Linked DNA regions of Tribolium castaneum. The protein of the gene in region 3 purifies or fractionates together with the protein of the main gene of each other region. This does not show direct contact. Links are inferred from orthologs where the notes say so. Each region holds a gene or a part of one and is shown on either strand. Other genes may lie near its edges.

Evidence for each region. Proteins that work in one complex are often made in the same cells at the same time.
Region 1: the proteins of Spf30 (region 3) and Sf3b1 purify together in Homo sapiens (co-immunoprecipitation; 5 studies listed by BioGRID and IntAct, with this or other methods). This does not show direct contact. The link is inferred for Tribolium castaneum from reciprocal best matches to the Homo sapiens genes SMNDC1 and SF3B1.
Region 2: the proteins of Spf30 (region 3) and noi purify together in Homo sapiens (affinity purification with mass spectrometry; 3 studies listed by BioGRID and IntAct, with this or other methods). This does not show direct contact. The link is inferred for Tribolium castaneum from reciprocal best matches to the Homo sapiens genes SMNDC1 and SF3A3.

Annotation. Positions count from the first base shown.
Region 1 is NC_087395.1:16,039,424-16,044,491, forward strand, and holds the start of Sf3b1 (splicing factor 3B subunit 1), read left to right. Parts: upstream 1-1,956; 5' UTR 1,957-2,073; coding exon 2,074-2,101; intron 2,102-2,155; coding exon 2,156-2,424; intron 2,425-2,473; coding exon 2,474-2,600; intron 2,601-2,605; exon of another isoform or gene 2,606-3,038; intron 3,039-3,242; coding exon 3,243-3,322; intron 3,323-3,435; coding exon 3,436-3,624; intron 3,625-3,672; coding exon 3,673-5,068. Other genes in the region: corepressor interacting with RBPJ 1, read left to right, coding at 1-754, 1,620-1,806. UniProt on the Homo sapiens protein: Component of the 17S U2 SnRNP complex of the spliceosome, a large ribonucleoprotein complex that removes introns from transcribed pre-mRNAs.
Region 2 is NC_087397.1:5,205,908-5,210,779, forward strand, and holds noi (splicing factor 3A subunit 3), read right to left. Parts: upstream 2,867-4,872; 5' UTR 2,724-2,866; coding exon 2,628-2,723; intron 2,576-2,627; coding exon 2,369-2,575; intron 2,320-2,368; coding exon 2,247-2,319; intron 2,190-2,246; coding exon 1,876-2,189; intron 1,827-1,875; coding exon 1,690-1,826; intron 1,642-1,689; coding exon 1,302-1,641; intron 1,251-1,301; coding exon 1,049-1,250; intron 1,000-1,048; coding exon 866-999; 3' UTR 813-865; downstream 1-812. Other genes in the region: neuropathy target esterase sws, read right to left, coding at 1-130, 177-270, 321-425; NF-kappa-B essential modulator, read left to right, coding at 3,142-4,653. UniProt on the Homo sapiens protein: Component of the 17S U2 SnRNP complex of the spliceosome, a large ribonucleoprotein complex that removes introns from transcribed pre-mRNAs.
Region 3 is NC_087399.1:319,639-323,338, reverse strand, and holds Spf30 (survival of motor neuron-related-splicing factor 30), read right to left. Parts: upstream 2,146-3,700; 5' UTR 2,002-2,145; coding exon 1,261-2,001; 3' UTR 1,182-1,260; downstream 1-1,181. Other genes in the region: ras-related protein Rab6, read left to right, coding at 535-1,167; uncharacterized protein LOC103314146, read left to right, coding at 2,452-3,700. UniProt on the Homo sapiens protein: Involved in spliceosome assembly.

The sequences.
Region 1 (5,068 bases), on a different chromosome or scaffold from region 3:
AGCAGGACTTGCACGACAATAAGGCGATGCTGAGCAAGGAGAGCAAAGACAAGTTGAGCATCAACTTCATGTACGAGCCCCCGCCCGGGGCGCGCAAGGAGCGCGAGCGCGAGGACAACGAGCCGGAGTACAAGTTCGAGTGGCAGCGTAAATACAACGCCCCCCGTGAGAGCTACTGTAAGGGCGATCAAGAGATTAGGGACCAGCCGTTCGGGATACAAGTGCGGAACGTCAGGTGCATCAAGTGCCACAAATGGGGGCACATTAACACGGATAAGGAGTGCCCCATGTACAGTTTGTCGACCAGTGTGGCCAGGTCGCTCGAGTCGGCCTCGATTTTGGACCAGAAGTCGTTGGTTGAGCAAATGAGGGAGGATGGGCTTGCGATTAAAAAGCAGTATTTGAGCAATACGGGGACTGCTAATTATGATTTGATTATTAACGAGGATGCTGATGAGAATTCGGTTGTGACTTTTATTAAGTCGTTGACGAAGAAGCAGAAGAAGGCGTTGTTGAAGAAGTTGGAGAAGATTGAAAAGGGGGGGAGAGATAAGAAGAACAAGAAACGAAGGGATTCAGATGAGGCTTCCTCAGATGAAGACAGGAAGAAAGCAGGGAAGAGGAAGTTCAGGAGGAGGAATCAGAGTACGAGCTCTGAGGAGGAATCGGAAGATGATAAGAAGAAACACAAGAAGAAGGAAAAGTCGTCAGAGTTTAAACTAATGTCCAAAGAGGAGAAAAAGGCATTGATTAAGTAAGTTTCGACTTTAAAACTGAGGACAATGTACTCTACTTTTTAGTCGAATATCAATTTTTTGTACGAAAATTTTCATTTGCAGTAGTTCATTTAAAAAATCACAACTCTTGAAACTTTTACAATAAATAAATAATTATATTAGTATTCGATAACCAAAGGTTCAAAGGGTCTTTTCAAATTTTCAGGATTGTCAAATGTCAAATTGCAAGACTACTATGATTTTTTGAAATTGATCAAAAAGTAATTATAACAGTTTTTTCAAATTTTTGAATGGTAATCAAAAGGATATCGATTTTTATGGAGACTTTTATCAATATCTCCTATATCTATCTCTTATACTTTTTAAAATAATCTCAAAAAAAAAAGACCAAAAGCTCATTGTTTTCAATTTTAATCGAGTAAACTTTCGAAAAATACGATAAAGTTGTGCTATTAAATAAAAGTACTGCTTATTTGATAATAAATCAACTAAAAACTAAATAAAAGTTGGACAGTTGTTGACCATTTTGCAAGGTCTACTTGATTAACTATGAAAATTACGAAGTAAAATCCGTGTTTTTTTTTGTAATTATTTCTAAAAATGTAGGAAATGGGTATAGGACGTGTTCATAAAAGTCACCATAAATATTGATGTTCGATTGCTGTTAAGAAAAAAGGATCGTTCCATTTGAAAGACTGAGTTATAGCCATATTTTGCCAAAATCATACTAGCCTTGAATTTTGACAAATGACAATTTTACAAAAATTCAAAAATCCCTAAATCGATTAAAATAATATTTTTTATTTAAAAACGACAAAAAGGGGGCAATTACAAAAAATAGTACAAAGATCTTTTAATTTACTATTAATTAATTGATTACAGGAAACTGGAAATTGTGGAGAAAGCAATCAGTAAAAGGAACGAAAAGAATGGGCGAAGAAGTTCCGATGAGGACAGGTCAAGGAGGGACAAAAAGCACTCACGGCATAACAATGATGACTACAGACGGGACAGGAAGCGAAAATCTGATGATTCCTATTATGAAAATAGCAAAAGAAGACGCTCTTAAGTTTTTGTTGTACATTTCTTAGAATTGTTGTGATTATAGGGATTATCATGATACTTGTAATAATTTAGAAAACGTAATATATTTTTAAACGTATTCCACCGAATTTTATTTATAAATCCCGCCAACTTTAGCGACAGGCTGGCTATTGGTCCATTTTCGCGCAGGCGCTTAATGAGTCGCCATTTTGTAACGCAAGCTTGTCATTGATTTTCCTTGAAAGTGTTTTGAAACGAAATAAGCCAAAGCAACAAGCATTGGTGCTAGAAAATGGAACAGATACCAAGGACTCATGAAGGTACGCTGTTTTTTGCACCCAAAAGCCCGTTTCATGACTTTTTTGCGTCTCTAGACATCGAGGCCCAAATTCGTGAAATCCAGTCTAAAAAGAAGGAAATTCCGGTGGAAGAGGAGCGAAACGAGAAGGGTGTAGGTTTAGGCGAGAGTGGCTATTTTGATAGTGAGATCTACGATGGGGGCGGCGGTAAGGGTAAATACGAGGGTTATGTGACCTCGATCGCCGCCAACGATGAAGCCGATGAAGAGGACGACGATGTGGGTTATAGTCAGAAACGGACCGGACTGGGGGCCCCTGTGGCGCTCCTCAATGATGTCGCTCAGGTGAGATTTGTGTTATTTAAGTTTTGTGGTAGTTAACTGAGTTGTTTAGAGCGACAAGGATTTTGATCCGTTTGCTGACAAGAGGAGGCCCACGATTGCCGATCGAGAGGACGAGTACAGGCAAAAGAGGCGTCGGATGATTATTTCACCCGAACGTGTTGATCCGTTCGCTGACGGTGAGTAGTTGATTTCGTCCAAGTATTTATAGCTCGTTTTTCCACTTGTTTATGTTTTATATGAAATTTGAGATAATGCTGTTGCTGTCGCTTATCTCAAGTTTTGTATGTTATTGGGGTATATGAAAGATAGCGAATGGATGCATGAGTGAGCAAAAATACTCGAGAAAGTAGGCATTAAATAAAAATCAGTACAAAGAAACTAATTTGTTCTGTATTGGATTCCAACATTTAGGGGTGTCTTCCTAGAGAAGTAATCGCCGCGATTTTAATGGATCACTTCCGTAAAATGTAACGTTGGTAAACGAAAATCGAACAAGAGTGAAAGAGTGTATGCAATGTATAGAAAATTATTAATTACCCCAGCCTATTTCTAGGTTCGATTTGACCAGTTGTTTTGCGAGAAACTGCCTGATTTGTGATGGAGCACAATCACACGTACGTATCAAGATTTGTTCGCCAAATTCACTCCCTTTCAATCCCCAATATTCGAAAAATAATCAGTTTGAGTGAATTGTGGTGCAACCAAATCTTTCAATCATTCAATAAAGAACAGATACTAAATAGAAAAGTCTGACCATTTTTTGCCAACAAGTGCTTCCGTTTACTAATTGGCGTTTTTCAACGCTGTTATGTTTACAGGTGGCAAAACACCAGACATCAATGCCCGCGGTTACACCCAGATTATGAAAGAGCAGATGCTCAAAGGAGAAGAAAACGAGGTCAGTATCAAAAATTTATCACCTAGCCAATTTTTTTTCGTAATTATGTCCGGCAATGGAGTCCTTTGTTAACTCAAAGTTGATTTCTTTGACCACTTGTAATTTAATTTCAGTTGAGGAAAAAAATTCTGGAAAAATCCAAAGACGGTTCACTCAAATCAACAAACGGTGAGGTAAAGAGCGCACCTAAGAAACGGGGGCGCTGGGACCAAACCGTAGACGAAGTCGTCGTCCCCAGCAAAAAGAAAACTCTCTCCGTAACGACCAACAGTGCAGCTGCTACCCCCATCTGGGATGCTGACGTAACAATCCCAATTTTTTAAAACCAATTATTAATAAAAAAATTACAGAAAACTCCAGCCGACCACCGCTGGGACGAAACCCCCGGCCACAAAGGCAGTGAAACGCCGGGCGCCACCCCCGGCCAATCCACCCGTATCTGGGACGCGACCCCCGGGGCTGCAACTCCAGGTCGCGAAACGCCCGCTCATGACAAGAGTGCCAGTCGTCGAAACCGCTGGGATGAAACACCCAAAACCGAGCGTGAAACTCCGGGACATTCGAGCGGCTGGGCTGAAACCCCGCGCACCGACCGAACCGGAGCCGACTTGATTCACGAAACACCGACTCCGGGAGCGTCCAAACGCCGCTCCCGTTGGGATGAAACTCCCTCTGTTCAGACACCGTCGGCGCACATGACTCCGGGTGCTATGACGCCGCAAACGCCGCACGGAACGCCAAGCCATGCCACTCCGATGCTGACTCCGGGCGGGTCAACTCCGGTCGGAGTCAAGGCGATGGCCATGGCGACGCCCACTCCGGGACACTTGGCGTCCATGACTCCGGAACAACTCCAGGCCTATCGATGGGAGCGGGAGATTGACGAGAGGAATAGGCCGTATTCGGATGAGGAATTGGATGCGATGTTTCCGCCGGGGTACAAGATTTTGGCACCTCCGGCTGGGTATATACCCATCAGGACGCCAGCAAGGAAATTGACAGCCACGCCCACACCCATGGTTAATACTCCCCAGGGATTTTTCATCCAACAGGAAGATAAGACAGCCAAATATCTGGATAATCAACCAAAAGGGCAGAATTTGCCGTTCATGAAACCAGAAGATGCGCAATATTTTGATAAATTATTGGTCGATGTTGATGAAGAAGCTTTGAGTCCTGAGGAACAGAAAGAACGGAAAATAATGAAACTACTCCTAAAGATCAAAAACGGGACCCCTCCCATGCGAAAAGCCGCCTTGAGGCAAATCACAGACAAGGCTCGAGAATTCGGTGCAGGGCCCCTTTTTAACCAAATTTTGCCCCTTTTAATGAGTCCAACTCTGGAGGACCAAGAACGTCACTTGTTAGTCAAAGTCATAGACCGAATTTTGTACAAATTGGACGATTTAGTCCGTCCCTACGTCCACAAAATATTGGTGGTGATCGAACCGTTGCTCATCGACGAAGATTACTACGCGCGTGTGGAAGGCCGTGAGATTATCTCAAATTTGGCCAAAGCCGCCGGATTGGCAACCATGATTTCGACCATGCGGCCCGATATTGACAATATAGACGAATACGTCCGAAATACAACCGCTCGTGCGTTTGCCGTCGTCGCTTCAGCTCTGGGAATCCCCTCGTTGTTGCCGTTTTTGAAAGCCGTCTGTCGGTCGAAAAAATCGTGGCAGGCCCGGCATACTGGTATTAAAATCGTCCAACAAATCGCAATATTGATGGGGTGCGCTA
Region 2 (4,872 bases), on a different chromosome or scaffold from region 3:
CCGGAGTTCCGCACTTGGCCCGAAATATTTTTCACCTTGCGTAACATTTTGCGCCCGTAAAACAACGCTTTATCCCTCTTCCTGAACCTTGCACTTGCCTCTTCGGATTTCAATTGTCGCGCAAAAAGAGCTAAATCAAATTATTACAACCGAGACAACTAAACACTAATTTGTACCTTTTCGGTGGCATTTTCGTATGCAAAAATACGTTACTGAAATTATCGTTGCGAAAATCGCTGCCAGTAACACGGGCAGTAGCTGGAAGCCCCACTGGAACCCCGTGATTACGCAAAAACTGATTCAAATCGCAGTTTTCTTACCTGGTACGTCTCTTGAGTCGAAAAACTCGAGAAGACCTCACCGAACCAACTGGACTTGAGGGTTTCTTCATTGTTTAAGTTGTATACCGCATTTAATACGTCCATTTTAGCTCGCACATTATAGAAATTAGACTCTGATGATTAAAGAATTAGTGATTAAAGGTTGAATAAAATCACAAACCTATTTGGATGAATTTACCCACTTATGTGTCAAAGTCAAATCTGGTCAAATCACAGGCACAAACAAATGCGCATCGTTCGGTAAGTGAGAAAAATTGCAGCCGACTGTGCATTCAACCGAACTCTAAAAACACGCTAAATGAGTACTTAAATTATTATTTATTTACGCAGAAACTACTGAATAATTTCTTAAGTAACAGGAATAATTTTCACTCTCTCTATCCCTATTTCGGGCTCAGTTTTGTACGTTCGTGCTAACGAACAGTCGAAAATTCCCCTTCCCAAGGCGACCATCAAAATAAAATGTCAATATTTAAAGTTTTGTTTATGTTTTTTATTGATACTTATTGTTAATACAGCACAAATTACAATAAACCTTGTCTTTTAAGATCCTCGTAAGTCTTTCTGTTAACGACGTTCCCTTGCGAATCCTCGTACTCTTCCTCTGTTTCAGGTTGCCAACGCTCTGCCTGTTTTTGCACTTTGAGCTTCTCCCACACTGGAAAACAACCGTAACAAGGTAAGAAACCAAAATTGCAACTTCTTACGTGCTAGGGCATCCTCAATTTGCGTCACGTTGGCAAAATGCGCGGTATTGGGGATTCCCAGACAGCGCATTCCATGAGCGTGTCTCCACTCCGCAAAGTGTCTTTGAAACGCCTTTGGTCCTTTATAGACGTAATTGCCGCAAATTTCGCAGTTGTAACTGATATTCAAACCGTGGAGTTTGTACAACCAGTATGGAATCGGCTGCAATTACGAAACAATCAATTTTACCAACTTACTTTCAAAATCACATACTTTTCCATCCCAGCCCAAAGGTAAGTTTTTGGGGTTGTAGGGAACGTCATCGTCGGCTTCATCGGGACTTTCCTCCTCACTCTCCTCATTTTCACTATCGTCTCTTTCACCATCCGTCCGCGCTTGTTTTCTCTGGACATTTTCCTTAGTTGCCGCGCGTTGAGGGGCGACCAGCTCGGCCAACCTATAAACTTGTGCCTCAAGACAGGCCAGTTCTCTTTGTCTCATTTGCTCCTTTTCCTTACTGGCTTTGCCAGATTTGTTTTTAGTCATTAGAGACGGATCTAGTGAGCCTTTGCCCTTGGTTGAAAATAAACGCTGGGCACGCTCTTCCAACGTCCTAAATAAATAATTAGAATTTTATTTATGGCAAGACGTAAATAATTACCCGCCACATTTTAAACCAAGAGCCATTAGGGCCGACTTCAATCTGTCCAAACCTAAAGAAGCCAATTCCTCCCAACTTGAAAATGCGGACAAGTCTAAATGGGCCCCAACGTTCGCCAAGGCCGACCCTGTCTCTTTCTGAAAGTAAATGAAGTAGTAAAAATAAATTAGTTTTTTACCAAATTACGGGCCATCCTGGAACAGTCCCATTCTCCCACTGGACCATAACATTATCAACTTCGTTTTGCAAATCAGCATCAATGTCCATCAAAGGTTTGACTCTTTGCACGAACCAAGTTAAATACTCAATCAAGCAAAGCAAATATTTGCGATATTCTCCAGTTTTGCGTTCTTTAGGAATGTCATAGAGCTGGTCAAAAGTGCCCAAATATGTGATATAATCAACCTTTTCAATGCCTTTCAAATTGATATATTTCTCGTAACATTCGTGCAAATCCAAATATTTCCCATAACCTTCCTCATCCGTAAATTCAACCAAATCTTGAAAAAACAAACGTAATTAAACAACTGTGATCACACGAGCCTAGCAAGACTCACTTGCCATTTCTTCAGTGGGATTTTCACGCGCTTTGGCTAGTTCATCGAACTCAACAGACATTGGAATACTTATCTGAGAAAAAAATCATTACACAAACACACAAAATATTCAAAAACTATACCTCATTAGGATGCTTCCTGTAAAAATCTTTAATCTGCTTGAGACGATTGTAAAACTCCTGAAACTCATTTGGACCTGTAAGGGCAGCGACTTCCGCTTTTCTTTGCCCGTCCTTGTCCTCATACAGCTCAATCAAACGATCAGTGGAGGTCATATATTTGTCTAGCAGAAATTTAAGGCGATAGTCCGAGTTTATTGCCTCGCGGTACTAAAACAAAGACTCTGTCAGGGGGCAAAGCGCCACGAGAATCACAACTTACCGTTGTTTTTTTATGTAAAATTTCTTTAACCATTGCGTCAATGAGACGCTCTTTTTCCTCGTGATAACGCCGTTGTTGCTCCAAAATCGTCTCCATTGCGACTTTTTTTAGAAAATTGCGAAAATTATTTATTTACCCGACGCCATCAAATGTCGACTGTCAAAAAATGACAAAATGTCAGCGTAGAATAAGAGAGAGGTGCACCATTATTGTCACACTAGAAAATCACTAAGCGGTTTTTCTTTGACTTTACAATTTTTTTACGACTACAGTTGTGTCCCAAATGAAATTTTACGTAAATAGTTATGCCACAATAACATTTTTAGAGCTTTAATATTCTTAAAAAATTAAATTAAGGCTAAGGCGACTTTTTATTGGTCCGGTTGGTAGCAGTGTCTTTAATCGTGTGTCAGTAGTTTGGTATTTTCATATTCTATGTTCTAATTCATTCTATTTTGCGCCGCAAATGTAGTGTTGTACTGCAGCTGTTGTTAAAACTTGAAAGTCATCAAAAATGAGTCGTGACGAGTCCTTCGTTGCTGTGAAAAACACTGCAGAGTCCATGGTTCCGTCAATCGGGTCCGATGATGAAGATTCATTTGTCGTTTTGGAAACTTCAAATTCCATCAGCGAAAGTTTGTCTTGCAGCCCTCCAAGGGACGAAATCTTGCCCCCAATAAGGACAAATAAGGTTCACGAAATGGAAAATCTAATCAGGATGAAAATATCACAAATTACCGTTGATCCGTTGCCAGAATTACCAGCAGCTGTTGATGCGATTGTGCCCTCAGTTGCAAGTATTGCAATATCGCCGGATTCGTCGTATGAAGAGATTCAAAAACAAGTGGAAGAACTGATTAAGGAAAACGAAAAGTTGAAGAATATCATCGCACAAAATAACATGAGTATGAAGGCGCAGTATACGAGGTTTTTGGCCTACAGGGATGAGGTCACCAATGTGATGAAGTCCTACAAAGATAAGTTCAACGATGCCAAAATGTGCATAGATAAGTATAAAGAAGAAAATGCAAAGTTGGTTAGTGACGTTGAAGTTTACATCAATCTTAAAAAGCTCCATGAAGAAGAAATCTTGAATTTGAAACTGAAGCTTAAGGAATTGGAAAATTTGACCAACGGCCCCAACTTTTCAGTTGTTGACACAAGGAAATTAGCAATGATGAAGGATTTAGAACTGAAACAGGAAGAAATTGAAAGACTGACGCAAAAATTGGTGAATGTACCGAACCTTGAACAGGAATTACAAACCAAGCAGCAACAAATTGACGACTTTAAACTGGATATTCTCGCCGCAAAAAATCGCGAAAGCGACCTAATTGACGAAATCCAGTCAATGAAGACAACAACCACCGACCTCCAATCAAAATTGGATAATTTAACAAAAGAAAACGCAAAACTCGTCCAATCATCGACGGCAGCCCAAACCTACGACCAGCTCCTCAAACTGAAAGAAACGGAAATCTTGAAACTGAAGGAAGAACAACAACGCACCGCTTTCGTCGAATCCACCCTCAGTGATGAGATAAAAACCCTAAAATCGCAACTTAAGGAGCTCCAAGACAAGTACAACCCGCGTTTGGCCGAAGATTATGCCCAATCCCGGGCCCAGTTGAGCGTTGCCCAAAGGACAATCACAGCATTGGAACAGGAAAGGGAACAGAAGATTAAAGAAATCGAAGATTTGCGTAAACTACTTCAAGAAAATACAAGTGCCAACGACGAAATGTTCGCATTGAAGGAACAAATCGAAGTGTATAAGAACGATTTTGAAGCAGAGAAGAAGAGCAAACTTGCGATGAAACAAGAGAAGGACCAGGTTGTTGAAGATTTGCAGAATCTGCAAACGAGGAACAAACAACTGCAGAATGAAGTGGAGAGGCTGAGGGCGAGGAACGAGCCGCCGAGGGCCGAGGGGTATCAGTGCCCCAAGTGCTCGTTCGGATTTAATAATTACCAGTCATTGGAAAATCATGTTCATAGGTGCTTGGATTTGGACGGTTTTCCCTAAATATATTTTTTGACTAGTATTTGTTTATTGTTCTTATATAAATATCTAAAGGAATTAATAAGTTTAACAAGGCCATCGTAATTGTTTGGAAATGTATTATTTTGTAGTTACTGTTCCTCGTTTACAACAATAAATACGAGTTAATAAAGTTCTTATTTGTCTCATTTTACCACGCAAACGCAACTACGATATGGAAATTTATTTTCGTTTAATTACATA
Region 3 (3,700 bases):
TTTTCCATTCATAGACTATCAACACTTGATTTGTATATTTTACGAAATTAAAGAACTTTGTTTAATCGTTCTTAGATGTTGGTTATAAACTGGATGTTGTTAATAATAGAAGATAAATAAAAAAATGTAATGCATGTTAAATAATACGAGTAAAACAGATTGGAAAGGTATCTTTCAAATCGTTAAAATGTTTTGACCAAATAATCAACTGTATATGTGGGCTAAGATGTTATAAATATATTTATTTACTTAAAATTTGTCTTATTCTCATAACTTTCATAAGATAGCTCGTTCTTATCAATTTACCGCATTCGCAAAAATTGGAAAAATCAAAAAATATTGCCAGTGAGTTAATTTTTTTTTCATTTTTATGTAGGTAAGTGTTTTAACTGTTAAAATTTTAAACAAAAAGAAATCAAAACTTTAAATTTAAATGCAAAGACTGCATTTGTGGGTTATTTATTTTTTGTGAATATATTTTTTTAATTAATATCAAAGTAGGCTACCGATTAAGTTTTTGTACTTTTTGTCAAAATGACAAAGTTTTCAATCTCGCAAGACTACAACCCCAGTTTACAAAAATACAAACTGGTTTTTCTGGGCGAACAAAGCGTTGGAAAAACTTCGATTATAACGAAATTCATGTACGACAGCTTCGACACCGCTTATCAGGCAACAGTCGGTATCGATTTTCTATCAAAAACAATGTATTTAACCGACAAAACCGTGCGTTTACAACTGTGGGACACAGCCGGTCAGGAGCGCTTCCGCTCTTTAATCCCTGCCTACATAAGAGACTCTTCAGTGGCTGTGGTGGTCTTTGATGTGACCAACATTGAAACCTTCCACCAAACCACAAAATGGATTAATGACGTGCGAATGGAACGCGGAGACTCCGTTATTGTGTTTCTGGTCGGCAACAAAGTCGACTTGAAGGACTTGAGACAAGTCAGTATAGAAGAGGGCGAACAAAAAGCGAAAGAATTGAACGTCACGTTCGTAGAGACGAGCGCCAAAGTTGGTTTGAACATTAAACAGCTATTTAAGCGAATTACTGAAAGTTTGGTGGTTTGTGAGGAACCAAAGAGTGATAATAGCAGTGAACTACAGGAAGTTAGTTTGGGGAAAAATGGCTTGGTTACGATTGACAACAGTTGCGCCTGTTAATTAAGAACAACTCGTTTTGTGAAACATTTATTTACAATAATTAATTGATACAATCTTATTTATTTAATTAAAAAAATAGTAACATAAAGAAAATTAAACCCCTTTCCTCCACTTTTCCGCTGTGGTAAACTCAGTCATCGGCTTGCCACTTATCCCACAAGTGCCAATCCCCACGCGTCCGTTCACCGAATCAGGCGACGCGAAAATACTCTTATTAGTGAGTCCGCTTTTTTTGTTTTTCACGGCTTTATTCGTAAAAGCCAGCCACTTGTTTTTCTCAACTTCTCTCTCTTCCTCCAATTCTTTGAATCTCTGCTGTTTCTTCAGCTTCTTCTTTTTGAGATATTCGCGGTTATTCATCATTTTGATGCGTTTCAAGCGTTCAGCTTCAGTCAGAACTCGTTTCGCTCCTGTGAATTCTTTAATTTCCGCTAAGGTAGAAACCCCCCGATTTTTATAAGCTTCAAATGTCACATTTACCTGTCCGTCCGGATGGATAGCATCGATACGGGCTTCGTAATATTGGCCGTTATCGTTCCATTTCGCGAGACAGGTGTCGCCAATCCGCCAGATTTTCTTTGATTTGTTACGAGCAACGAACTGCTCAACGGCCAGGAGCGACTTGGTTATCTCGTCTTCTTCAGGCACCCCAATCGGTTCGGTGTACTCGGGCTGATTTGCCGCCTCATCTGCCTTATTCTTCAAATCAAGGGACAATTCAATTACTTCCTCCAAGTCCACTTTGAGCTTTTGCAGCTCTTTGTTGTCGGGGTCGCTCAGAAGCGCGGCTTCGACTTGTTGTAATTGCAGGCGGTAGTTTTGCAACTCGTCCATCGTTCAGGTTGCAAAAAACGTACAAACTTACCAAAAAACTCGCCGTTATTTAATAAAATTATTGACAAGTTCAATACGTCAATAAATCGGCGGCCATTTGCAATCTTTCACGGTTTGTAGGGATTTTGACGTTACCAAGGCGTCACAAAAACCATCTTATAAAATAAAAACTTATCGTGATTATCACAAATACGCCCTAATTCACGTTTTTGAGTCGCTTGATTGTGTTTCGTATTTTTTCTATGTGTAAAAAGGCCGTTTTGGCGAGAAACGTGTTTGTTTGGCGGCGCTGCTGTCGCAGAAAAATCACCAAAGCGTCAAACAAGCCCCCTTGGTATTTTTTGATTGTTTGACGTTTTTGGGGGGGTTGTAGCGTCCCCCCAAAGTCAGGTGTACAAATGTGTGCTAAACAATTAAATTAAGTGATCGTTACCACGTTAAACTTTCGTAATGGCAAGTGTTATTTCCCTCTCGAGTGCATCGTTGAACGCTTCCCCCAAAAACACCGATTCTCCTGTGACTGTTCTAACCCTAAGTTCGGAAATACACCGAGTTCCCGTGAGTTGGGACGGCCACAAAGGTGCCAAAAGGACGTCCAAGGTCTTGGACTCTGATAACACCCCCAATCATTACGAAAAAGTCAAAGAATGGATAGATACGACCAAGTACGATGATCTGGGGCCCCCTAATGAGAATAAAAGCGTTTGTATCCGCTATGATTTCGATAAAAGCGAGAAAATCACAATAAATGTGCCGAAATCATGTTTTACGCGAGTCACTCCCTTGTTTTCTTATATGGAACAGGCCAAAAAAGCGGCTCTGAGTGACGAGAAAAAAAGCCAGGAATGTACAGCAAAAGTCAATGGAAATTTAAACTTTGAAACTCCCCTAAGCCCAGAAAGCCAGAAAAAGGAACTTTGCAGTTACTTACAGCTAATGAAACCTGGCGAAAAGAAACAGAAGAAACTGTTATTCGGAAACAGACGATCGAAGCGAGTCAAGAATTTAGTCCAAAACCACCAAAAAACGTGTTCAGAAAACGACATAAACACCTTCCCCACCCTCAAATCATTCGAAGATTTGAACATTTTTGAGTCGAAGAAGAAAAAAGAAACGCCCAATAAATATTTACCATTGCCCCCAAAGTCAAAATTTAGCGAATTTGTTGATTTTGAGGACTCGGTTCGTAAGATTGTCGAAAGTGTCAAGTTGAGGAGTAAAGTGACAAAGCGCCGAAAATTTAATTGGGGGCTCAAATCGCATCAGTTTAATTTCAAACGAATTAATTCACTACGTAGCAAAGGTCGGCTCAGGTTCATTTCTTTGGATCGGCTCATTTTGCGTAAAAGTCGGAAACGGCGGAAAAAATTTCTCAAGAAAGATTCACCACAAAAAAATGCATGTCCCCACTGTGATTCGGTGGAGAAACAACAACGTTGCGAAATCGTCTCGGTTCATACGAATTCGGATGATGAAAATATCGATTTGAAAAATTTCGTTGACGATATGTTAGAGTTGGATAAAATGAGTGAAGAGCACAGGAAAAGTGTGATCGAGACACGAATCTTGGCTTCCAGTTCGATTACCAACCTTATAAACAAACAAATGGCACAAGAAGCCGATGTCCAGAAGGCCTACAAAATTTTTGCCGACTTGTCCGAAAAGAAAACCACAGAAGAGAAGGAAAATAAAGATCTAG